Linked DNA regions of Saccharomyces cerevisiae S288C. Each later gene encodes a partner of the first gene's protein in a complex. Each region holds a gene or a part of one and is shown in the gene's direction. Other genes may lie near its edges.

Evidence for each region.
Region 2: SEC13 (region 1) and NUP49 share a complex: the UniProt entries of both Saccharomyces cerevisiae proteins name them as parts of the nuclear pore complex.
Region 3: the proteins of SEC13 (region 1) and SEC16 are in contact, whole or in part, in a crystal structure (PDB 3MZK), measured with the Saccharomyces cerevisiae proteins. Residues at the interface, in NP_013309.1 of Saccharomyces cerevisiae: Met1 (codon at 1,972), Val2 (codon at 1,975), Val3 (codon at 1,978), Ile4 (codon at 1,981), Ala5 (codon at 1,984), Asn6 (codon at 1,987), Ala7 (codon at 1,990), Leu11 (codon at 2,002), Ile12 (codon at 2,005), His13 (codon at 2,008), Asp14 (codon at 2,011), Ala15 (codon at 2,014), Val16 (codon at 2,017), Leu17 (codon at 2,020), Asp18 (codon at 2,023), Tyr19 (codon at 2,026), Tyr20 (codon at 2,029), Gly21 (codon at 2,032), Leu24 (codon at 2,041), Thr26 (codon at 2,047), Val38 (codon at 2,083), His63 (codon at 2,158), His110 (codon at 2,299), Glu111 (codon at 2,302), Ala156 (codon at 2,437), Thr157 (codon at 2,440), Ile158 (codon at 2,443), Glu159 (codon at 2,446), Glu160 (codon at 2,449), Thr167 (codon at 2,470); in NP_015240.1 of Saccharomyces cerevisiae: Arg990 (codon at 4,635), Arg991 (codon at 4,638), Gln992 (codon at 4,641), Phe993 (codon at 4,644), Pro994 (codon at 4,647), Ile995 (codon at 4,650), Phe996 (codon at 4,653), His997 (codon at 4,656), Trp998 (codon at 4,659), Ser999 (codon at 4,662), Ala1000 (codon at 4,665), Ala1001 (codon at 4,668), Lys1003 (codon at 4,674), Val1004 (codon at 4,677), Val1005 (codon at 4,680), Tyr1006 (codon at 4,683), Val1008 (codon at 4,689), Pro1009 (codon at 4,692), Val1024 (codon at 4,737), Gln1025 (codon at 4,740), Glu1026 (codon at 4,743), Ile1027 (codon at 4,746), Lys1028 (codon at 4,749), Val1029 (codon at 4,752), Thr1030 (codon at 4,755), Ile1035 (codon at 4,770), Ile1036 (codon at 4,773), Gly1271 (codon at 5,478), Thr1273 (codon at 5,484), Ala1274 (codon at 5,487).
Region 4: SEC13 (region 1) and NUP170 share a complex: the UniProt entries of both Saccharomyces cerevisiae proteins name them as parts of the nuclear pore complex.

Annotation. Positions count from the first base shown.
Region 1 is NC_001144.5:557,580-560,993, forward strand, and holds SEC13 (GTPase-activating protein SEC13), read left to right. Parts: upstream 1-1,971; coding exon 1,972-2,865; downstream 2,866-3,414. Other genes in the region: ubiquitin ligase complex subunit HRD3, read left to right, coding at 1-1,710; PNP1 (purine-nucleoside phosphorylase), read right to left, coding at 3,218-3,414. UniProt on the Saccharomyces cerevisiae protein: Functions as a component of the nuclear pore complex (NPC) and the COPII coat. It is one of 5 proteins constituting the COPII coat, which is involved in anterograde (ER to Golgi) double-membrane transport vesicle formation.
Region 2 is NC_001139.9:179,079-182,667, forward strand, and holds NUP49 (FG-nucleoporin NUP49), read left to right. Parts: upstream 1-1,621; coding exon 1,622-3,040; downstream 3,041-3,589. Other genes in the region: chromatin-binding exonuclease XRN1, read right to left, coding at 1-1,035; RNA-dependent ATPase ROK1, read left to right, coding at 3,312-3,589. UniProt on the Saccharomyces cerevisiae protein: Functions as a component of the nuclear pore complex (NPC).
Region 3 is NC_001148.4:385,400-393,115, forward strand, and holds the start of SEC16 (COPII coat assembly protein SEC16), read left to right. Parts: upstream 1-1,667; coding exon 1,668-7,716. Other genes in the region: Elongator subunit ELP3, read right to left, coding at 1-1,047. UniProt on the Saccharomyces cerevisiae protein: Involved in the initiation of assembly of the COPII coat required for the formation of transport vesicles from the endoplasmic reticulum (ER) and the selection of cargo molecules. Also involved in autophagy.
Region 4 is NC_001134.8:73,702-80,295, forward strand, and holds NUP170 (Nup170p), read left to right. Parts: upstream 1-1,557; coding exon 1,558-6,066; downstream 6,067-6,594. Other genes in the region: glutamyl-tRNA(Gln) amidotransferase subunit PET112, read right to left, coding at 1-994. UniProt on the Saccharomyces cerevisiae protein: Functions as a component of the nuclear pore complex (NPC).

The DNA of each region.
Region 1 (3,414 bases):
AGGAAAAGAACTACGAGACCAGATATTGGTTCACCCTTTATTGCGCAAGTTAACGGTGTACAGATGACCTTGCAAATCGAACCGATGGGTAGGTTCGCTTTCAACGGTAACGATGGCAACATAAATGGCGACGAAGATGACGAGGATGCCAGTGAAAGACGAATCATTCGGATATATTATGCAGCTTTGAATGATTATAAAGGAACATATTCACAAAGCAGAAATTGTGAGCGCGCCAAAAACTTGTTGGAATTAACGTACAAGGAATTTCAGCCTCATGTCGACAATTTGGATCCTTTGCAAGTATTTTACTACGTCCGTTGCTTACAATTATTGGGGCACATGTATTTCACCGGCGAAGGCTCCTCGAAGCCTAATATTCATATGGCCGAAGAGATCCTGACCACGTCGCTAGAAATAAGCAGAAGGGCACAGGGACCTATAGGTAGAGCGTGCATAGATCTGGGCTTAATAAATCAATACATCACAAACAATATTTCTCAAGCAATTTCGTATTATATGAAAGCTATGAAAACACAAGCTAACAATGGAATCGTAGAATTCCAATTATCCAAATTGGCCACTTCATTCCCTGAAGAAAAAATCGGCGACCCATTTAACTTAATGGAAACTGCCTACTTGAATGGATTCATTCCAGCCATATATGAGTTTGCAGTAATGATCGAATCTGGAATGAACAGTAAGAGTAGTGTGGAAAACACTGCTTACCTGTTCAAAACATTCGTTGACAAAAACGAAGCTATTATGGCACCTAAACTGAGGACAGCATTTGCCGCATTAATCAACGATCGTTCAGAAGTGGCTTTATGGGCTTATTCCCAACTAGCCGAGCAAGGCTACGAGACTGCTCAAGTCTCTGCCGCCTACTTAATGTACCAGTTGCCATATGAGTTTGAGGATCCTCCAAGAACCACAGATCAGAGAAAAACTTTGGCAATTTCCTACTATACAAGAGCGTTTAAACAGGGAAATATAGATGCTGGTGTTGTCGCGGGAGATATCTATTTTCAGATGCAGAATTACAGTAAAGCTATGGCTCTTTATCAGGGTGCAGCTTTGAAGTACTCTATACAGGCTATCTGGAACTTAGGGTACATGCATGAGCATGGGCTAGGTGTAAACAGAGATTTCCATCTTGCTAAACGTTACTACGACCAAGTTTCAGAACACGATCATAGATTTTACTTGGCTTCCAAATTGAGTGTTTTAAAATTACACCTAAAGTCATGGTTGACTTGGATCACCAGAGAAAAAGTAAACTACTGGAAACCTTCCTCGCCACTTAACCCTAACGAAGATACTCAGCACTCGAAGACTTCATGGTACAAGCAATTGACGAAGATTCTACAAAGAATGAGACATAAGGAGGATAGTGACAAAGCTGCGGAAGATTCTCACAAACACAGAACTGTAGTGCAGAATGGAGCTAACCATAGGGGTGACGACCAAGAGGAGGCTTCCGAGATTTTGGGCTTCCAAATGGAGGATCTTGTTACGATGGGATGTATCTTGGGGATATTCCTATTAAGTATATTAATGAGTACACTGGCGGCCCGTAGAGGCTGGAATGTCCGTTTCAATGGAGCACAATTAAATGCAAATGGTAACCGGCAGCAAGAGCAACAACAACAACAACAAGCACAAGGTCCCCCGGGCTGGGACTTCAATGTTCAGATATTCGCCATATGATGTGGTTTGTATAGATATATACATAGACTATCCATAGAAATCACCCACGCATTACCCGAAAGTTTTCAATAAAGCGAACAGCGAGAAGAAAAAAAGCGAAACCGACAGAGAATTACCACCCTAGAGCTTTAACCCCATTGAGATCAACACAATTTCGAACAGTGAAAGTGCATTGGCGAAGGTGATACAATTGGCTTCCAGCTCTGAATAATAATAACTTACAAGCGCAAAGATAACAGATAATTTTATATCAGCATACAAATGGTCGTCATAGCTAATGCGCACAACGAATTAATCCATGACGCTGTTCTAGACTATTATGGGAAGCGCCTTGCAACCTGCTCTTCTGACAAGACAATCAAGATCTTTGAAGTCGAAGGAGAAACACACAAGTTAATAGACACGTTGACTGGCCACGAAGGCCCAGTTTGGCGTGTTGATTGGGCACATCCTAAATTCGGAACCATTTTGGCATCGTGTTCTTATGATGGTAAAGTGTTGATTTGGAAGGAAGAAAACGGTAGATGGTCTCAAATTGCCGTTCATGCTGTCCACTCTGCTTCTGTCAACTCTGTTCAATGGGCTCCTCATGAATATGGCCCCCTACTGCTGGTTGCTTCCTCTGATGGTAAGGTCTCCGTAGTAGAGTTCAAAGAAAACGGTACTACTTCCCCAATAATCATCGATGCTCATGCCATTGGCGTTAACTCTGCTTCTTGGGCTCCAGCTACCATCGAAGAAGATGGTGAACACAACGGTACTAAAGAATCTCGCAAGTTTGTTACTGGGGGTGCTGACAATTTGGTAAAGATTTGGAAGTACAATTCAGATGCCCAAACTTATGTTCTGGAAAGCACCTTAGAAGGTCACAGCGATTGGGTTAGAGACGTAGCATGGTCACCTACTGTTCTTCTACGTTCTTATTTGGCCAGTGTTTCTCAAGATCGCACCTGTATTATTTGGACTCAAGACAATGAACAAGGCCCATGGAAAAAAACTTTATTAAAAGAAGAAAAATTCCCAGATGTTTTATGGAGAGCCAGTTGGTCTTTGTCAGGTAATGTACTAGCTCTTTCCGGTGGCGATAATAAAGTTACTTTATGGAAGGAAAATCTTGAGGGTAAATGGGAACCCGCTGGTGAAGTTCATCAGTGAAGAGTATCAAGAATTTAAAATGAAACATCTCAAAAGAAAAAAGAATGCAAATGAGTCTATCGACGAATTTGAAGGGAAATAAACGCATAATGTACAGTAACGTATAACAATTAAAGATTTGTGGAAGTTTTCAAAAACTTTTCAACTTTTTTCTTTGTTTTTTTTTTGCAACTTCTTATATTAATATTGTCATAGATATTTCTTATACAAAAACAAGCGAACAAAAATAATCGACGTATATACAATAGATATATAAGACTGTTTTTCTTCAATAGAACAGGCGAAATTATTCTACCGGCCGAAGGTACATCTTCCCGCTATGTAATAAATAGAGGTATTTAAGTTATAACAATTATAATTCCCCCATTACGGCAGCAATTAAGTTTTGCACGTCATTAGAGGCGATTTTACCATTCTCCAGTACTTCAGCGTGAGTCGCTTTGCCTTTTTCTAAGGGTACAGGTGATTCGTCCAACGCACTGGCAGGGCTATCCACCACGCAAGTATTGGTAATCAAACTTAAGGCCAAAACCCTCCATCCGCAATGTC
Region 2 (3,589 bases), on another chromosome or scaffold:
AAATTGAGACAGATAATTTAACCAGACACCTAATCTCTTTAAATTTATTTTACCATGTTCATTAATGTAGCCATCAGTATGTAAAAGAGCTTCTTTGAACGTTTGTAACAAAACGGGAAATGCTCCTTTGTTAAGGTGCAAATCTGGCAAATTGGGCAAGAAATCATTACCAATGACGAACATGACAAGAATAAAATCATCCAAAATACGTTCAAAATTGTATTCAAATTGCATTTCATCGGCAATTTCTTTGAATTCCAACTCCATGTATTCTCTTAATAAAGAAAGATGTAATAAGTAGAAATTTTGATGTTCAAGCGATTTTTTTTCACTATTTCTTCTACCAAATGTCACTTCTTCTCTCAATAACGCAAAATGTGGCCCATGAGTAGACAAACCCAGCATAATCAAATCTGCGTCAAGACCGTAAATACAATGTCTCGTATTCTGGTTGAAATCCTTTTGGGATTTTAAATGCCTTATAAAGTTCATGATCTTGTGTTCACCTTCACCTGGAACTTCATGGCCAGAAAATATGATTTGCACTTCCCTCCATTTGGAATCGTTAGAAATCTTGTCGTGAATAAAATATTGTAAGTTTTTGGTCAATTTGGCCATAAACTCCGTACCTGGAGTAATAGAATTCGAATCAAATGGCTCACCCTTAGGAATCTCGTCACCATTCTCAATAGCCTTCTTCAAGGCTTTTTCTGCATCCATAGCGGTTCTGAATCTACGAGCTCTTTGTTGATTCATCTTGGCACGAGGGGCCACACCATCAATAGCCATGTAGAAAATCTTCTTGGGCTTGATTGTTTGAAAAAGGTGATCGATATACGTACAGATTTTTGCAAAAACCTCTTCTTCAGTTAATCGCTTGGTTACATCATCGTCGTTACCATGCGTACAATTATGTAAAATCGAATTCATATCCAGGTATAAGTTATCAAACTCAGGAATCTGTGTTCCCTCAATAAGCTGTAAAATCATGGGCCATCTTTCTGAGATGTACCTGAAAAATTTTGGAATACCCATACCGTACTGATATATATTTGTTGCTGCTGTTGTTACAAGTGTTGATTTTTTTTCTCCTTATAGTACACGAATCGTCCTAGGATTAGTCAATTGCTTATTGTGAACCCGATTATAAGTACGGAAGAAGACAGTATCCTTTAGAAAATAAACTATTAACAGGAACGGAAATAAAAGGCAGAGAGAAAATAATAAAAGAATCGGTTCGCTTGTGCGAACGCCAAACAGATTTTATAATAACGGAAGAGCTGCTGAAAAAAAAAGCAAGCTGCAACTGTTATATTTGCGTAGATAAACTTTACAACCGGTAATTGGAAGTCGTAAGTACTTAGTTTGACGTTTTCAGTACTCGTTAAACTACTCCTTAAATTGCTTTCTAACCTCTTCTTGTTTGTCTCTGTTGTTACTTGCTCTGCGGTGGCGAAAAGACGAGCAAAGGAGGTTGTATATATCACTCAACACGGAATGTATTACAGCTTTCTCAAATAAATGTAGTTGAAAAAGACCATTAATCGTGAGAATAGTTACTGATCAGGTGATGAGACGATAAAAACAGTAATTGAGAGGGTTTTCACGGGTAGTGGGCACAATGTTTGGATTAAATAAAGCATCTTCGACACCTGCAGGTGGGCTCTTTGGTCAGGCCAGCGGAGCTAGCACTGGAAACGCGAATACTGGGTTTTCGTTTGGTGGGACTCAAACTGGACAAAACACCGGCCCAAGTACAGGTGGACTATTTGGCGCTAAACCAGCCGGATCTACAGGAGGATTAGGTGCATCATTTGGTCAGCAGCAACAACAATCTCAGACAAATGCATTTGGAGGAAGCGCCACCACCGGAGGGGGCCTTTTCGGTAACAAACCTAACAATACGGCGAACACTGGGGGCGGGTTATTTGGCGCTAATTCGAACAGTAATTCTGGCAGTTTGTTTGGTTCCAACAATGCACAGACGAGTCGTGGTTTGTTTGGTAATAATAACACTAATAATATCAATAATAGTAGTAGTGGCATGAATAATGCAAGCGCTGGACTATTTGGCTCTAAACCTGCAGGAGGCACTTCTTTGTTCGGTAATACAAGCACCTCTTCGGCCCCTGCGCAGAACCAGGGCATGTTTGGTGCAAAACCAGCTGGTACATCTCTATTCGGCAATAATGCAGGTAATACGACCACTGGTGGAGGGTTATTTGGCTCCAAACCGACAGGAGCAACGTCTTTGTTTGGTTCATCAAATAACAACAACAATAACAATAATAGTAACAACATCATGAGTGCGTCAGGCGGGCTATTTGGTAATCAGCAGCAGCAACTGCAGCAACAACCACAAATGCAGTGCGCATTGCAAAATCTATCTCAGCTCCCTATTACCCCAATGACACGGATTTCCGAATTACCACCTCAAATACGTCAAGAAATTGAACAACTAGATCAATATATTCAAAAACAAGTGCAGATCTCGCACCATTTGAAGGCCGATACAATCGATCATGATGAATTGATAGATTCCATTCCTCGTGATGTTGCATACCTACTGAAGTCAGAATCTGCAACAAGTCAATATTTAAAGCAAGATTTGAAGAAAATATCCTCATTTAAATCGCTAATCGATGAGGACCTTCTAGACACGCAAACTTTTTCGGTGCTCTTACAGCAACTATTAACTCCGGGAAGCAAAATTTCTTCTAATGACTTAGACAAATTCTTTCAAAAGAAAATTCATCTCTACGAGAAGAAGTTAGAGGATTACTGCCGTATTCTCTCTGATATAGAAACTGCGGTAAATGGCATTGATACAGATTTATTTGGCGCCCCAAATAACCCTAATTCTACAGCTATCACAGCAGATCTAGGTTCATCCGAAGCAGAGAACCTACTGCAGTTGAAGACAGGCTTAGCTGCCATAGTCTCTACTGTCATTGAGGAATTCACACTGTTTATGGATATCGCTGAGAGAATCGCCGTGTTACATCAAAAAACGAAAACACTGGCATCATTGAGCATATGAGTAAATCGCCCTGAAAGTTTATATAGTGCGTATAACAAGTACAAATGTCTTGTACAAATGTAATTTATACTAAATGCAATAGAATATAACATCAATCACAGTTTTTCAGTCACCATAATGGCGTCTTAGAGGCCGAACTAACTTTTCTTCGTGAAAAATTTTTTGCGATGAGATGGGAAGGAAAAAAAGTAATATTGACATCTTCAATTGAGAGATATTACCTGCAAAAAGGTACATACGATAGTAGAAGTTATCGAACAGGCAAGCCACCATGGATATTTTTAGAGTATTAACTAGAGGAGCTTCCGTGAAGAAAGAGTCAGGCCCAAAGGCTAAGGCAGCAGATTACAGCGTTATAAATGGAAATGATGAGAATCATAAGGAAGATAATAATGAAAGCCAGATCGTGAAAGAACTTGATTTCTTTCGAAACAAGAGAATCATTAGCAAGGTAGAGGATGATAGAGAGAAGACAACCGAAAACGATTCTCCAAACAAAGAGGAGAAGAGCGGCAATGATGATGGTCTGATAAAACCAGTGATTACCAA
Region 3 (7,716 bases), on another chromosome or scaffold:
ATAAGACTTATACCTGCCCGTTTTCCAAAGTTCGTATAAACCTGTACCCCTAATGACTAAAGTTGGATAGATTTTCAACCCATCAGTCCTAAAATCAGGATTTTCAAAATACTCTTTGAACTGTTCAATATCTCTTTCCATCCCAACATTTGGTAAATCTGGCATCATGTGAGAAACAACCTTATAACCAGCATCTTTAGACACAGCAAAAGTTTCACAAACAGACCTAACGGTGTGTCCTCTATTAGTATCACGAGCAACGTCTTCGTACAAGGACTGAACACCAATTTCTAATCTGGTACAGCCATATTTTAACATATCGTCCAAATGTGTTTGCGTACAATAATCAGGCCTAGTTTCGATTGTTATACCAACACACTTCGTTAAACTTTGTTGCGAATAAAGAATAGCTTCATCAATATCATTACCATTGAACCCAGAAAGTGCATTATGCAATTTCACAATAAAATCTTCACGATATTCTTTTGGTAATGACATAAATGTACCACCCATCAGAACATATTCGACTTTATCGATGGAGTGACCTAACTGTTTCAATTGTTCCACCCTACCACGTGCTTGTTCATAAGGGTCATAACGAGCTCTGATGGCACGCATTGAAGTTGGTTCATAGCCTGTGTAAGATTGTGTAGAATACTCAAAATCTGAATCTGGACCACCTGGACAATAAACACAAATATTACCTGTATATGCAATGTGAGGACAACGATGTGGTTTACACATAACGGCTACCACTGCAATACCCGATGCTGTTCTTACTGGCTTAGCCTTCAATTTGGGTAATAAATATTTTTTGTATTGGTCTGGAATAGAATTAATGATATCGGTTAACCTTGGTTGTTGCTTTAGTTTATATTTCTTTGAATATTTAGTAATCAAACCATTCAGATTAATTTCTCTTGTTGTTCCCGAGGTTAAAGAATCTGTTAACTCTAATGTGATATCAGCACAACATTGTATAAACCTTTCCTTTTCAGGTGCTAGCTTTTTTTTGTTAGTTTTTGGGCCTTTTCCATGACGAGCCATCTTTGTCAGGGTGTTCTTCGATTTTCCTTAGGTGCTTTTAGGACTTGTTTATTTCAAAACTTTGCACTGGATAATTTGAGATGAGCTAACTAAATTTCAAAATTTTTTGACCATTTTTTTTTTTTCATGAGGAAGAGCCAGTGACAGTAAATAATAAAAGGTGAAATGATTAAACAATGAAAGCGGCAGAAAAATAAAATCAAACAGTGGCAGTATTGACTTTTGAAAATCAGAAGTTCATCCTAAGTTAAGACTTTCTTCTTTTAAGTGCTTTCTCCTTCTCTCACTGTCTTATCGCTGTATATCTCATTGTTGAATAATATAACACAACGTTATAAGTGATCATCACTTTCTGATCCATAATTTCAAACCTCAAGCGACCGTACATGTGGCATTTTCCACTATAAACTTACGAGCAAGAGAAAGATATACGGAAAAGGTTAATTGGCAGGTTACACAAGATTTTGGTCATTGAATATTTGCAGCCCTCCTGCTTGAGAAACTGGACAACAACTGTTATCAATATTCCCTTTTCAAAATAGTGGTATTTAACTGGCCATAACCAAGGAAACCGTTGTACCTATTATTTTGTATAGTCTTCATTTAATAACGTGTTAAGAATGACACCTGAAGCCAAGAAAAGGAAAAACCAAAAGAAGAAGTTGAAGCAAAAGCAAAAAAAAGCTGCTGAGAAAGCTGCTAGCCACAGTGAAGAACCACTTGAATTACCAGAAAGTACGATTAACAGCAGCTTCAACGACGACTCGGTGAACCGTACAGAATCTGACATAGCTTCAAAATCTGATGTTCCTCCGGTCTCATCATCTACCAATATCTCTCCGGCTAATGAAACACAACTAGAAATACCTGATACTCAAGAATTGCATCATAAACTGCTCAACGACTCTGATCAACATGATATTACCGCGGACTCAAATGATTTGCCAGACAACTCAATCGTTGAACATGACTCTGTTATTACCCAAACAAAACCAGCCATGTCTCAAGAATACGAAGAGACTGCCGCTCACTTATCTTCGAGAAATCCATCGCTCGATGTAGTCGCGGGAGAACTTCACAATAATAATGAACATACCCAGAAAATTGCCGTATCCGCTGTGGAAGAGGATTCTTTCAATGAAGAAGAGGGTGAAAATCACGACAGCATAATAATTTCATCATTAAACGATGCTACCCCTTCTCAATATAATCATTTTCTCCCATCCGATGGCAATCTTCTTTCTCCAGAATTATCTTCTGGTGATACGCCAACTCACAATGTTCCTCTAGGCACAAAAGACAATGAAATAAATGACGATGAGTATTGTAATGATAAGGAAATTAGTTTGAACGCAAATAATGTGCTTCCTGATGAACTTTCAAAGGAAGAAGATGAAAGATTAAAACTAGAAACGCATGTATCAACCGAAGAAAAGAAACAGGATATCGCTGATCAGGAAACTGCAGAAAACTTATTTACGTCTAGTACAGAACCATCTGAGAATAAAATAAGAAATTCTGGTGATGATACCTCCATGTTGTTTCAAGATGACGAAAGTGATCAGAAGGTTCCATGGGAGGAAGATGTGAAGAAAGATTTTCATAATGAGAACACAAATAATACTCAAGAATCGGCACCGAACACAGATGATCGTGATAAGGGTTATGAAGGAAACGAAGCTTTGAAAAAGTCCGAAAGTTGTACAGCCGCGGACGAGAGGTCGTACTCTGAAGAAACTTCAGAAGATATCTTTCACGGACACGACAAACAGGTAGTTGAAGGCCAAAATGATTTCACTGGGAAAAATATTGAGAATGAAAGCCAGAAATTAATGGGGGAAGGGAATCATAAGTTACCGTTGTCTGCCGAAGCTGACATTATAGAACCTGGTAAGGATATTCAAGATCAAGCCGAGGATTTGTTTACGCAGAGCAGCGGAGACTTGGGAGAAGTTTTGCCATGGGAATCTACTGATAAAAACGCTGATGTAACGAGCAAATCCCAAGAGAAACATGAAGATTTATTTGCTGCTTCTGGAAACGATGAGAAACTTCCTTGGGAAGTTTCTGACGGTGAAGTATCATCGGGAAAGACGGAAAACAGCATGCAGACTAGTACTGAGAAAATAGCTGAGCAAAAGTTTTCGTTTTTGGAAAACGACGACGACCTTTTGGACGACGACGACAGCTTTTTGGCTTCTTCTGAGGAAGAAGACACAGTACCTAATACCGATAATACAACGAATTTAACCTCAAAACCAGTTGAAGAAAAAAAGGCTTCAAGATATAAACCTATTATCGAGGAGGAAGCAGGAATGCGTCAAGAGCAAGTTCATTTTACCAATACTACTGGCATTGTAACACCGCAGCAGTTCCACGGTTTGACTAAAACTGGACTAGGCACCCCCAACCAACAAGTCAGTGTACCAAATATAGTTAGTCCTAAGCCTCCTGTGGTAAAAGACAATCGTTCAAATTTTAAGATAAATGAGGAGAAAAAGAAGTCTGATGCTTACGATTTTCCACTGGAAATTATTTCAGAAAGTTCCAAGAAGGGTCACGCAAAGCCGGTTGCCGTTCCTACTCAAAGGTTTGGCTCAGGGAATTCTTTTAGTTCTTTGGACAAACCAATTCCACAGAGCAGGAAAGGCTCTAATAACTCAAATAGGCCACCCGTGATCCCATTGGGGACGCAGGAGCCTCGATCTTCGAGAACTAACTCAGCGATCTCGCAATCTCCCGTTAATTATGCTTTCCCTAACCCATACAAAATTCAACAACTACAACAGGCTCCTATCCAATCAGGTATGCCTTTACCAAATACCAACATACCTCCCCCAGCATTAAAAGTGGAAACCACCGTTTCTGCTCCTCCAATTCGGGCAAGAGGGGTCAGCAATGCCTCCGTGGGAAGTTCAGCGTCTTTTGGTGCTAGACATGCAACACAGTACGGCCTCAATAACGGGGTACCTCCGGTTTCGCCATATGGTCAAGCTACCATAAATTTGCCAACTGCGAATAAGTATGCCCCCGTCTCTCCTACAGTTCAGCAGAAGCAATATCCATCAGTTGTGCAAAACCTTGGCGCTTCGGCCGTAAATACCCCCAATTTTGTAAAGACCCATAGAGGCCATACAAGCTCTATTAGTTCGTATACACCAAACCAGAATGAACACGCCTCTAGATACGCACCCAACTATCAACAATCTTATCAGGTGCCATATACCTCACAACCTGTTGGTCCTGTAGCTGGGAATTCAAGCTATCAAAGCCAAACCCGAAGTTCTTATGCAGTTCCTATGATGCCCCAGGCTCAAACTTCAGCAAGTATTCAGCCTCACGCGAACATTCAACCGCCTACTGGCATTTTACCTTTAGCCCCCTTACGACCTCTAGACCCCTTACAAGCCGCTACGAACTTGCAACCCCGTGCAAGCAACATAACGGCTGCAAATTCACTACCTCTTGCAAATTTGCCACTTGCTGAAAACATACTGCCAGAAATTATCACGCATCGAGCTACAAGTAGTGTTGCACCACCACGACAGGAAAATAATCCAATTAAAATAGACAACGAGGCTTTATTACGCCGTCAATTTCCGATTTTTCATTGGAGTGCTGCAAACAAGGTCGTGTACGCAGTCCCCCCTATCCCTGACCAATCGCAGTACATGATTTCATCAAGCATTGTACAGGAAATAAAAGTGACACCAATTGACCAGATAATTAAACCGAACGATATGCTCAAAAGCTTCCCAGGTCCTTTGGGTAGTGCCAAATTAAAAAAAAAGGATTTAACCAAATGGATGGAAACCACTATTAAATCCATATCTGAAAATGAATCATCCACTGATATGACTATATGGCAACTATTGGAAATGAAACTAAACGATAAAGTTAACTGGAAAAATATTTCAAAACTACTATACAATTCTGACGAACTTTTAATGTACCTATCTCAGCCCTTTCCAAACGGTGACATGATTCCAAATGCATATAGACTGGATATAAATTGTCAGATGAGAGTCCTGGCGTTCTTACAAACGGGAAATCACGATGAGGCACTTCGCTTAGCTTTAAGCAAGAGGGATTATGCCATTGCACTATTGGTTGGCAGTTTAATGGGTAAAGACAGATGGTCTGAAGTCATTCAGAAATATTTATATGAAGGGTTTACTGCGGGGCCAAACGACCAAAAAGAATTGGCACACTTTCTGCTCCTTATCTTTCAAGTATTTGTTGGTAACTCCAAAATGGCCATAAAAAGTTTCTACACTAATAATGAGACCAGTCAATGGGCATCCGAAAACTGGAAGAGTATCGTTGCAGCTGTTCTGATTAATATCCCAGAAAATAATGAAGATCCACTACTTATACCACCTGTTGTCCTTGAATTTTTGATAGAGTTCGGTATATTCCTCACCAAAAAGGGCTTGACAGCCGCAGCTAGTACATTATTTATTATTGGTAACGTACCACTTTCTAATGAGCCAGTAATGGCAGATTCAGACGTTATATTTGAAAGTATTGGAAACATGAATACTTTTGAAAGCATTCTATGGGATGAAATCTACGAGTATATATTCTCGTATGACCCTAAATTCAAAGGATTTTCATCTATTTTGCCCCAGAAGATATACCATGCATCTCTTTTACAAGAACAAGGTTTGAACAGCCTGGGGACAAAGTATACTGATTACCTCAGTTCCTCAGTTCGAAAACTGCCTAAGAAAGATATTTTAACAATAAACCTCACTCGTGAATTGAGTGAGGTGGCTAGTAGGCTTTCCGAGTCTAATACAGGATGGCTTGCAAAACCAAAACTAAGCAGCGTATGGGGTCAATTAGATAAATCCTTCAATAAATATATTGGTGGCGATGATATTGATGCATTGAATAAAAAAAATGATAAAAAGAAAGTTTTTGATGGGTTCACACCGGGATCTTCTGCCAATTCGTCAACTGTGGATCTCACCCAAACATTCACACCTTTCCAAGCTCAAGTTACTTCGCAAAGCTATGTGGATACTACAGCTCTTTTGCATAATGCCCATAATGTACCAAGCCATAGTGTGCTGCATTCAAAGCCTTCCAATGTGTCAAAGGGGTTAGTTGAAGCAAACTTACCGTATACGCATAGGATCGGTGATAGTTTGCAGGGATCTCCTCAGCGCATTCATAATACACAGTTCGCTGCTGCTGAGCCTCAAATGGCTTCTTTGAGAAGAGTTAGAACAGACCAGCATACAAACGAAAAGGCTTTGAAGAGTCAGCAGATTTTAGAGAAAAAGTCTACGGCCTACACTCCACAATTTGGACAGAACCATAGCGTTCCAATGGAAAAGTCTAATTCGAATGTGCCATCTTTATTTGCCGACTTCCCTGCTCCACCCAAACTTGGAACAGTGCCGTCTAATTATGTGTCTAGTCCTGACTTAGTAAGAAGGGAGTCTATCATATCTACCGGATCAGAATTTCTTCCTCCTCCCAAAATTGGGGTACCTACTAAAGCTAATTCCTCGCAGGGATCGCTTATGTACTCACCAAGTGTGGAAGCTTTGCCTATCGACCCTGTCGTCCCGCAAGTTCATGAGACGGGATACAATGATTTTGGTAACAAACATTCTCAAAAAAGTATGCCTGAAGATGAATCTCACACATCACATGATAATAGCAATGCTGATCAAAATACATTAAAAGACTCTGCAGATGTTACAGATGAAACAATGGATATTGAAGGACCTGGCTTCAACGATGTGAAGAATCTTCTTCCTATGGAGCCCAACCACCAGCCTACGTCTACAGTAAATCCTATACAAACTATTAGTGACGATATCCAACCGATTCTTCAAACTAACGTGGAGGTCCGGGGTACTGATGCATCGAAAATGGAAAATTCACTTCCCTCCATTGAAAATGAAAGAAGTAGCGAGGAGCAGCCAGAAAACATTTCAAAATCAGCATCATCAGCATATTTACCATCAACTGGTGGATTGTCACTCGAAAACAGACCGCTAACTCAGGATGAAAACAGTATCTCAGAGACAGTTCAATCCACATACTTGCCAGCAGGAAGTATTTCAATGGAAGCTAAACCAATTTCTCAAGTGCAAGATGTTCCAAGAAATGTTAATAATAAAGCATCCAAACTTGTGGAGCAACATATGGCACCACCAAAGCCAAAAAGTACTGACGCAACCAAAATGAACTACTCACCATACGTGCCTCAATCAACTGCCGCTAGTGCAGATGGCGATGAATCAACGATTCTGAAAACATCGCCTGCTATATATGCAAGAACTCACCAAGCACATGCATCCAATCCATCACAATACTTTCCTTTGGTCAACCAAGCAAATGAAACTGCTTCATTCGAATTATCTGAATCAACATCCCAGGCACAAAGTAATGGAAATGTTGCTTCAGAAAATAGATTCAGCCCAATAAAGAAAGCCGAAGTCGTCGAGAAAGACACTTTTCAACCTACTATTAGGAAGGCTTCAACTAACCAATACAGGGCTTTTAAACCGTTGGAATCAGATGCGGATAAATACAATGACGTTATTGAAGATGAATCCGATGACGACAATATGTCTACTGATGAGGCAAAGAACAGAAAGGAAGAAAAAAAGAATGTGAATATGAAAAAGGAAACAAAACCAAGTAACA
Region 4 (6,594 bases), on another chromosome or scaffold:
TCATTATATCGTCCGGTAATTGGGGCATCAACCCTCTCACACCACTGATAACGTCTGGTGCGAGGTTGATATACGGCAATTCTGGATCAGGCATGTACCTGTAATCGATCGTGGTTTCTTTGCTTCTCAACTTCACCGTTGATGAGCCTGTCCAGCCCCTTGTTTCTGGCTCCATCAGTGAGCTAGTGTCACCCACAGAAATCAACTCAACTTGCCGCTGATATTCGTACTTGATTGCATTGATGATGGAACTAGTATTGGGTAAATTCTTCAACTCAACGCGTGCATATTCATTAATTGAGAGGTTAACGTCCACTCGCATGGCGCCCGTTTCCAGGTCCCCAGAGGAAATGTGCAAATGACGTACCAAATTCTGATATTTTTTAATAAACGCTCTAACCTGTTTAATATCACTGAAATCTGGTTTAGTTACCAATTCGATAAGCGGGACGTTCGACCTATTTAAATCAACCAAAGTAATAACGTCTTTATCTGTCTCTGTATAGTGTGACTTCCCCGTGTCCTGCTCTATCTGCAACTGTAAGATACCGATTTCCTTGGCTGATTCATCGATATCATCCAATTCCTTCGACAGATTGATCTTCCCACCCCGAGCAAACGGCCTGTAGTGCTGCGTCAGTTGATAGCCTTGAGGTTGATCTCCATAAAAATAATGCTTCCTATCAAACTGAGATATGCTATTCACTTGAGAACCCAGTGCCAAGGATAGTTTCATGGCAAACAAGATTGCTTCCAGATTCAAAACCGGCTGCGTTCCCGGTAGAGCTATGTCATAATAACTAGTATGATGGTTTGGTGCATCCACTAGAGATGTGGCGCTATTCGTTGATTGTGAAAAAAGCTTGTTTTTGGTGTTCAATTGCGTATGAATCTCCAATCCACACTTCAATGCATATTCCGGCCTGAAGGGTGCACCGTGACTATGTATGGCTTTGGTTCTGGCCAAAGAATAAAAACGTGCAAGCCGCAACATATCTAGTTCCTACTCTGGTCTTTTTGGACAGGAATGCTAACAATAACACTATTACTAGGTGGTACGACTAAGTACATCACGTCAAGCTTATTACTACTATAACTACTATTATCATAACAAAAGGGAAAACTAAACCCTATCTAAACAAGGGTTATTTAAATTTTTAACAAGGGCATACAACAAAAAAATAATAAACCTAAAATCAGAAAGTTAATCTTTCAGGGCTTTTGAAAGTGGAATTAACGTCTCTAGTAAACGAGGATTGTTTCCAATGAGATTCTAAGACCCAAATATCCTCTTCTTTACTTTGAAATGTTTGCAATGGACCATGATTATGGATGTGTTCTTTGTGACACGCTTTCAATGTACTCTATATCGTGTTGCACGAAGGATTGTTACTTTATTTGTAAAAAAAAAAACAATTTTTCGAGATGGGACATTAATATTGTAGAATTCTGAACATATTAGTGAACAGTTCTTTCGGAGAATTACTGGAACCTAGGATCTGACAAGCGGACAAAAAAGCAGAGTGCGTTTATTACTTCTCTTTCTAGCGGTTGTTCATGTTTCAAAGTTTTTTCCACAACAATGGGCCCGCTGCTGCCGGTGAAACGTTTTCAGATAGCAGATCGTACCCTTTAACGAATCATCAAGAAGTACCCAGGAATGGACTGAATGAGTTGGCCTCATCTGCAACCAAGGCGCAACAACAACCTACACACATATTAAACTCATATCCAATTACCGGGTCCAACCCACTCATGAGGGCAAGCGCAATGGGGGCGACCTCTGGCAGCATCAATCCTAATATGTCCAACATGAATGAGCACATTCGTGTTTCCGGGATGGGGACTTCTAAGCCCCTGGACTTAGCGGGAAAGTACATTGACCATCTACAACATAAAGATAGTAACACTCCCGTACTCGACGAACGATCTTATTATAACAGCGGGGTAGATTATAACTTCAGCAGAGAAAAAAACGGCTTAGGAGCGTTTACTCCATTTGAAAAGCAAGATGTGTTCAACATTCCGGACGAGATTTTGCATGAATTTTCCACTTCACAGACAAAAACTGATATGGGTATTTTCCCGGAGTTAAATCGATGTTGGATAACTATTGATAATAAACTGATACTCTGGAATATTAACAATGACAATGAGTATCAGGTGGTAGATGATATGAAGCATACCATTCAAAAAGTCGCCTTGGTAAGACCTAAGCCAAACACCTTTGTGCCTGCCGTGAAGCATCTACTTTTGATAAGCACGACAATGGAGCTTTTCATGTTTGCTATTTCCTTAGACAAAGCCACCAACGAACTCAGTGTATTCAATACACATCTATCAGTCCCTGTACAAGGCATTGATGTAATAGACATTGTGTCTCATGAAAGATCGGGTAGAATTTTCTTCGCAGGCCAAGCCAGTGGCCTGAATATCTGGGAGTTGCACTACTCAGGTTCCGATGACTGGTTCAATAGTAAATGTAGTAAGGTCTGTCTGACAAAGTCTGCCCTATTAAGTCTTCTACCTACTAACATGTTATCGCAGATTCCAGGTGTTGATTTTATTCAGGCTTTGTTCGAAGATAATTCTAACGGTAATGGCGGATTTTCTCAAGAGACCATCACGCAACTAACTATTGACCAACAAAGAGGAATCATCTATTCATTATCCTCCAAATCCACCATTAGAGCATACGTAATAACAGAAAAATCACTGGAAGGACCCATGTCAATTGAGCCTGCCTACATCAGTAGGATCATAGGTACCACGACGGCAAGGGCAGCACCGATTTTGGGCCCCAAATACCTAAAAATTGTCAAGATAAGCTCTGTTGCACCAGAAGAAAACAACAATTTGTTTTTAGTTGCTTTAACAGTAGGTGGTGTGCGTTTGTACTTTAATGGTTCCATGGGCAGATTTAACATCGAAGCTTTGAGGTTAGAATCGATCAAGTTCCCCCCTAGTTCTGTAACTCCTGAAGTCATCCAACAAGAATTACTACATCAACAACAGGAACAGGCGAAGAGAAGCTTTCCTTTCTTTTCAAATCTAATGTCTTCCGAACCAGTCCTCTTAAAATTCCAAAAGAAATCATCTGTATTACTAGAGACTACAAAAGCAAGTACAATTATTTCCCCAGGCATATTTTTTTCCGCTGTGATCAAGTCATCTCAGCAAACTCATCAACAAGAAAAAAAAGAGAACTCATCTGTTACTGGAACGACCGCTACCGCAGGGTCTAAAACTGTCAAACAACAGCCAGTTACTTTACAACATAAGCTTTTCGTTAGTGTTCCAGATTATGGTATCTTGAAAACACACGGTAAGTACGTTGAAAATGCCACGTTTTTGGAAACTGCGGGCCCAGTTCAACAAATTATTCCCTTATCGGGGTTGTTTAATGCAACGACAAAGCCACAAGGATTTGCTAACGAATTTGCGACACAGTACACATCAGAAACTTTAAGGGTAGCAGTTTTGACGAGCACTTCTATCGAAATTTATAAATATCGTACTCCTGATGAAATTTTTGAGGATCTAATCGATAATCCGCTGCCATTCGTCTTAAATTATGGTGCCGCGGAAGCTTGTTCCACTGCATTGTTTGTTACTTGCAAATCAAATAAATCTGAAAAATTAAGATCTAATGCCCTGACTTTTTTAACTATGGGTATTCCTGGCGTTGTTGACATCAAACCTGTCTACAACCGTTATTCTGTATCTACAGTATCCTCTTTATTGTCAAAGCCCACTTTATCAACCGCAACAACTAATCTCCAACAATCAATAACTGGCTTTAGTAAACCCTCCCCTGCAAACAAGGAAGATTTTGACTTAGATGACGTAATATTATCCCCCAGATTTTACGGTATTGCATTATTGATTACCAGACTACTTCGAGATATTTGGGGGAGACATGTCTTCATGACTTTTACAGATAATAGGGTGACATCCCATGCTTTCATTTCTTCTTCTGATCCAATCACTCCATCTATTAATAACCTAAAAAGTGATGAAATTTCACAAAATAGGAACATAATATCAAAGGTTTCTATTTCCAAGGATTGTATCGAGTACTATCTATCTTCAATTAACATTTTAAATGAATTTTTCATCACTTATGGTGATTCAATTTCCCAAATATCAGCTCCCTACGTATTAGCGAACAATTCTAACGGCAGGGTTATTGATAAAACAGAAGAAGTTGCAAACCAAGCGGAAAGTATAGCGATTAATGCGATGATCAAAATGGTACAGTCCATAAAGGAAGGTCTATCATTCTTGAACGTTTTATACGAGGAAAGCGAAGTCGAAGGATTCGACAACCAATACCTTGGTTTCAAGGATATAATCAGTTTTGTAAGCTTGGACGTCCAAAAAGATTTAGTCAAACTAGATTTTAAAGATTTATTTGCTCCAAATGACAAAACAAAATCATTAATTAGAGAAATTTTATTATCCATCATCAATAGGAATATCACCAAAGGTGCGTCGATAGAGTATACCGCAACAGCTTTACAAGAACGCTGTGGATCATTCTGCTCTGCAAGTGATATATTAGGATTTAGAGCCATTGAACATCTTAGAAGGGCTAAAGAAATTGGCTTGCGTAACTATGATTCTCTAAACTATCACCTGAAAAATGCTACTGCTTTACTTGAACAAATTGTGGATGATCTTTCTATCGAGAAATTGAAAGAAGCTGTATCAATGATGCTGAGTGTAAATTATTACCCAAAATCTATTGAATTCTTATTGAATATTGCCAACTCTATGGACAAAGGCAAACTAGCTTGTCAATATGTGGCAAATGGATTTTTAGAAAATGATGATAGGAAACAATATTACGACAAACGTATCTTAGTTTATGACCTAGTTTTTGATACTTTAATAAAAGTAGACGAACTTGCCGAAAAAAAACAGTCATCAAAAACTCAAAACCAAATTTCGATATCGAATGACGATGAAGTGAAACTGAGACAAAAAAGTTATGAAGCCGCCCTAAAATATAACGATAGATTATTCCACTATCATATGTATGATTGGCTTGTGTCTCAGAACAGAGAGGAAAAACTATTAGATATTGAAACTCCATTCATACTCCCTTATTTAATGGAAAAGGCAGGTAGTTCATTGAAGATATCTAATATACTCTGGGTCTATTATTCAAGAAGATCTAAATTTTTCGAATCTGCTGAAATTCTTTACCGTTTAGCTACATCGAATTTTGACATCACATTGTTTGAAAGAATTGAGTTTCTTTCACGCGCCAATGGTTTTTGCAACAGTGTGTCACCATTAAGCCAGAAACAAAGAATTGTACAATTAGCTAGTAGGATCCAAGATGCATGTGAAGTTGCTGGTATTCAAGGTGATATATTGTCGCTCGTGTATACAGACGCAAGAATAGATTCAGCCATTAAAGATGAGCTGATCAAAACTCTAGATGGTAAAATATTGAGCACAAGTGAGCTGTTTAATGATTTTGCTGTACCCTTAAGTTACCATGAAATTGCCCTATTCATTTTCAAGATAGCAGATTTTAGGGACCATGAAGTAATTATGGCCAAGTGGGATGAGCTATTCCAATCTTTGAGGATGGAATTTAATAATACCGGAAAGAAAGAAGATTCAATGAACTTCATCAACTTACTGTCTAATGTACTGATTAAAATTGGTAAAAATGTTCAGGATTCTGAATTCATTTTCCCCATTTTCGAACTCTTTCCCATTGTCTGTAATTTTTTCTACGAAACACTACCTAAGGAACATATTGTATCAGGGTCGATAGTTTCTATATTCATAACAGCGGGTGTTTCTTTCAACAAAATGTACTATATTTTAAAAGAACTAATCGAGACATCAGATTCCGATAATTCCGTATTTAATAAAGAAATGACCTGGTTAATTCACGAATGGTACAAATCGGACAGGAAATTTAGGGACATTATTTCCTACAACGATATCATTCACTTGAAGGAATACAAAATTGATAATGATCCAATTGAAAAGTACGTTAAGAACAGCGGCAATAATTTGGGGATTTGTTTCTACAAAGAATAAAAATTCATGTTCGACATATAGATAGCAGGGTAATGTACGTGTATATTTTAATGTAATAAAGAGGCCTTACTAGACGGTAAAGTTAAGAATATCGAGTGAACTTTTCCTTAAGATAAAGGTAAATATAGTCGAGTATTTATTTATTATTCTTTTCCACTATACAGTATTTAAAATTCTGTAAGAAATTGATTCTACATACATAAGACAAACGAACAGGTCAGAGAGAATCAGATTTTTGGTTAGCAAGAATACATTTTGGAGAAGAAAGACATTAACTCCACCTTACTGTATCATCTTATTTGCTTTTTCACTCCTTCCTAATATTTTTTTTATTTTATTTTGAATTTCTTCCTATTTCTGATGCATTGAACAGATCGTAATCTGTAAGTAAATACCATAACGTGCTCACATTTGTCTCCAAATACTGGTGAAATCTTGGCTCCGTTGTGTACAAAACTTCTTAATGAATATATATATATTTTTCCCTTATTTTATCTTTTTTTTTCGAATTTTTTATGTAAACATTCT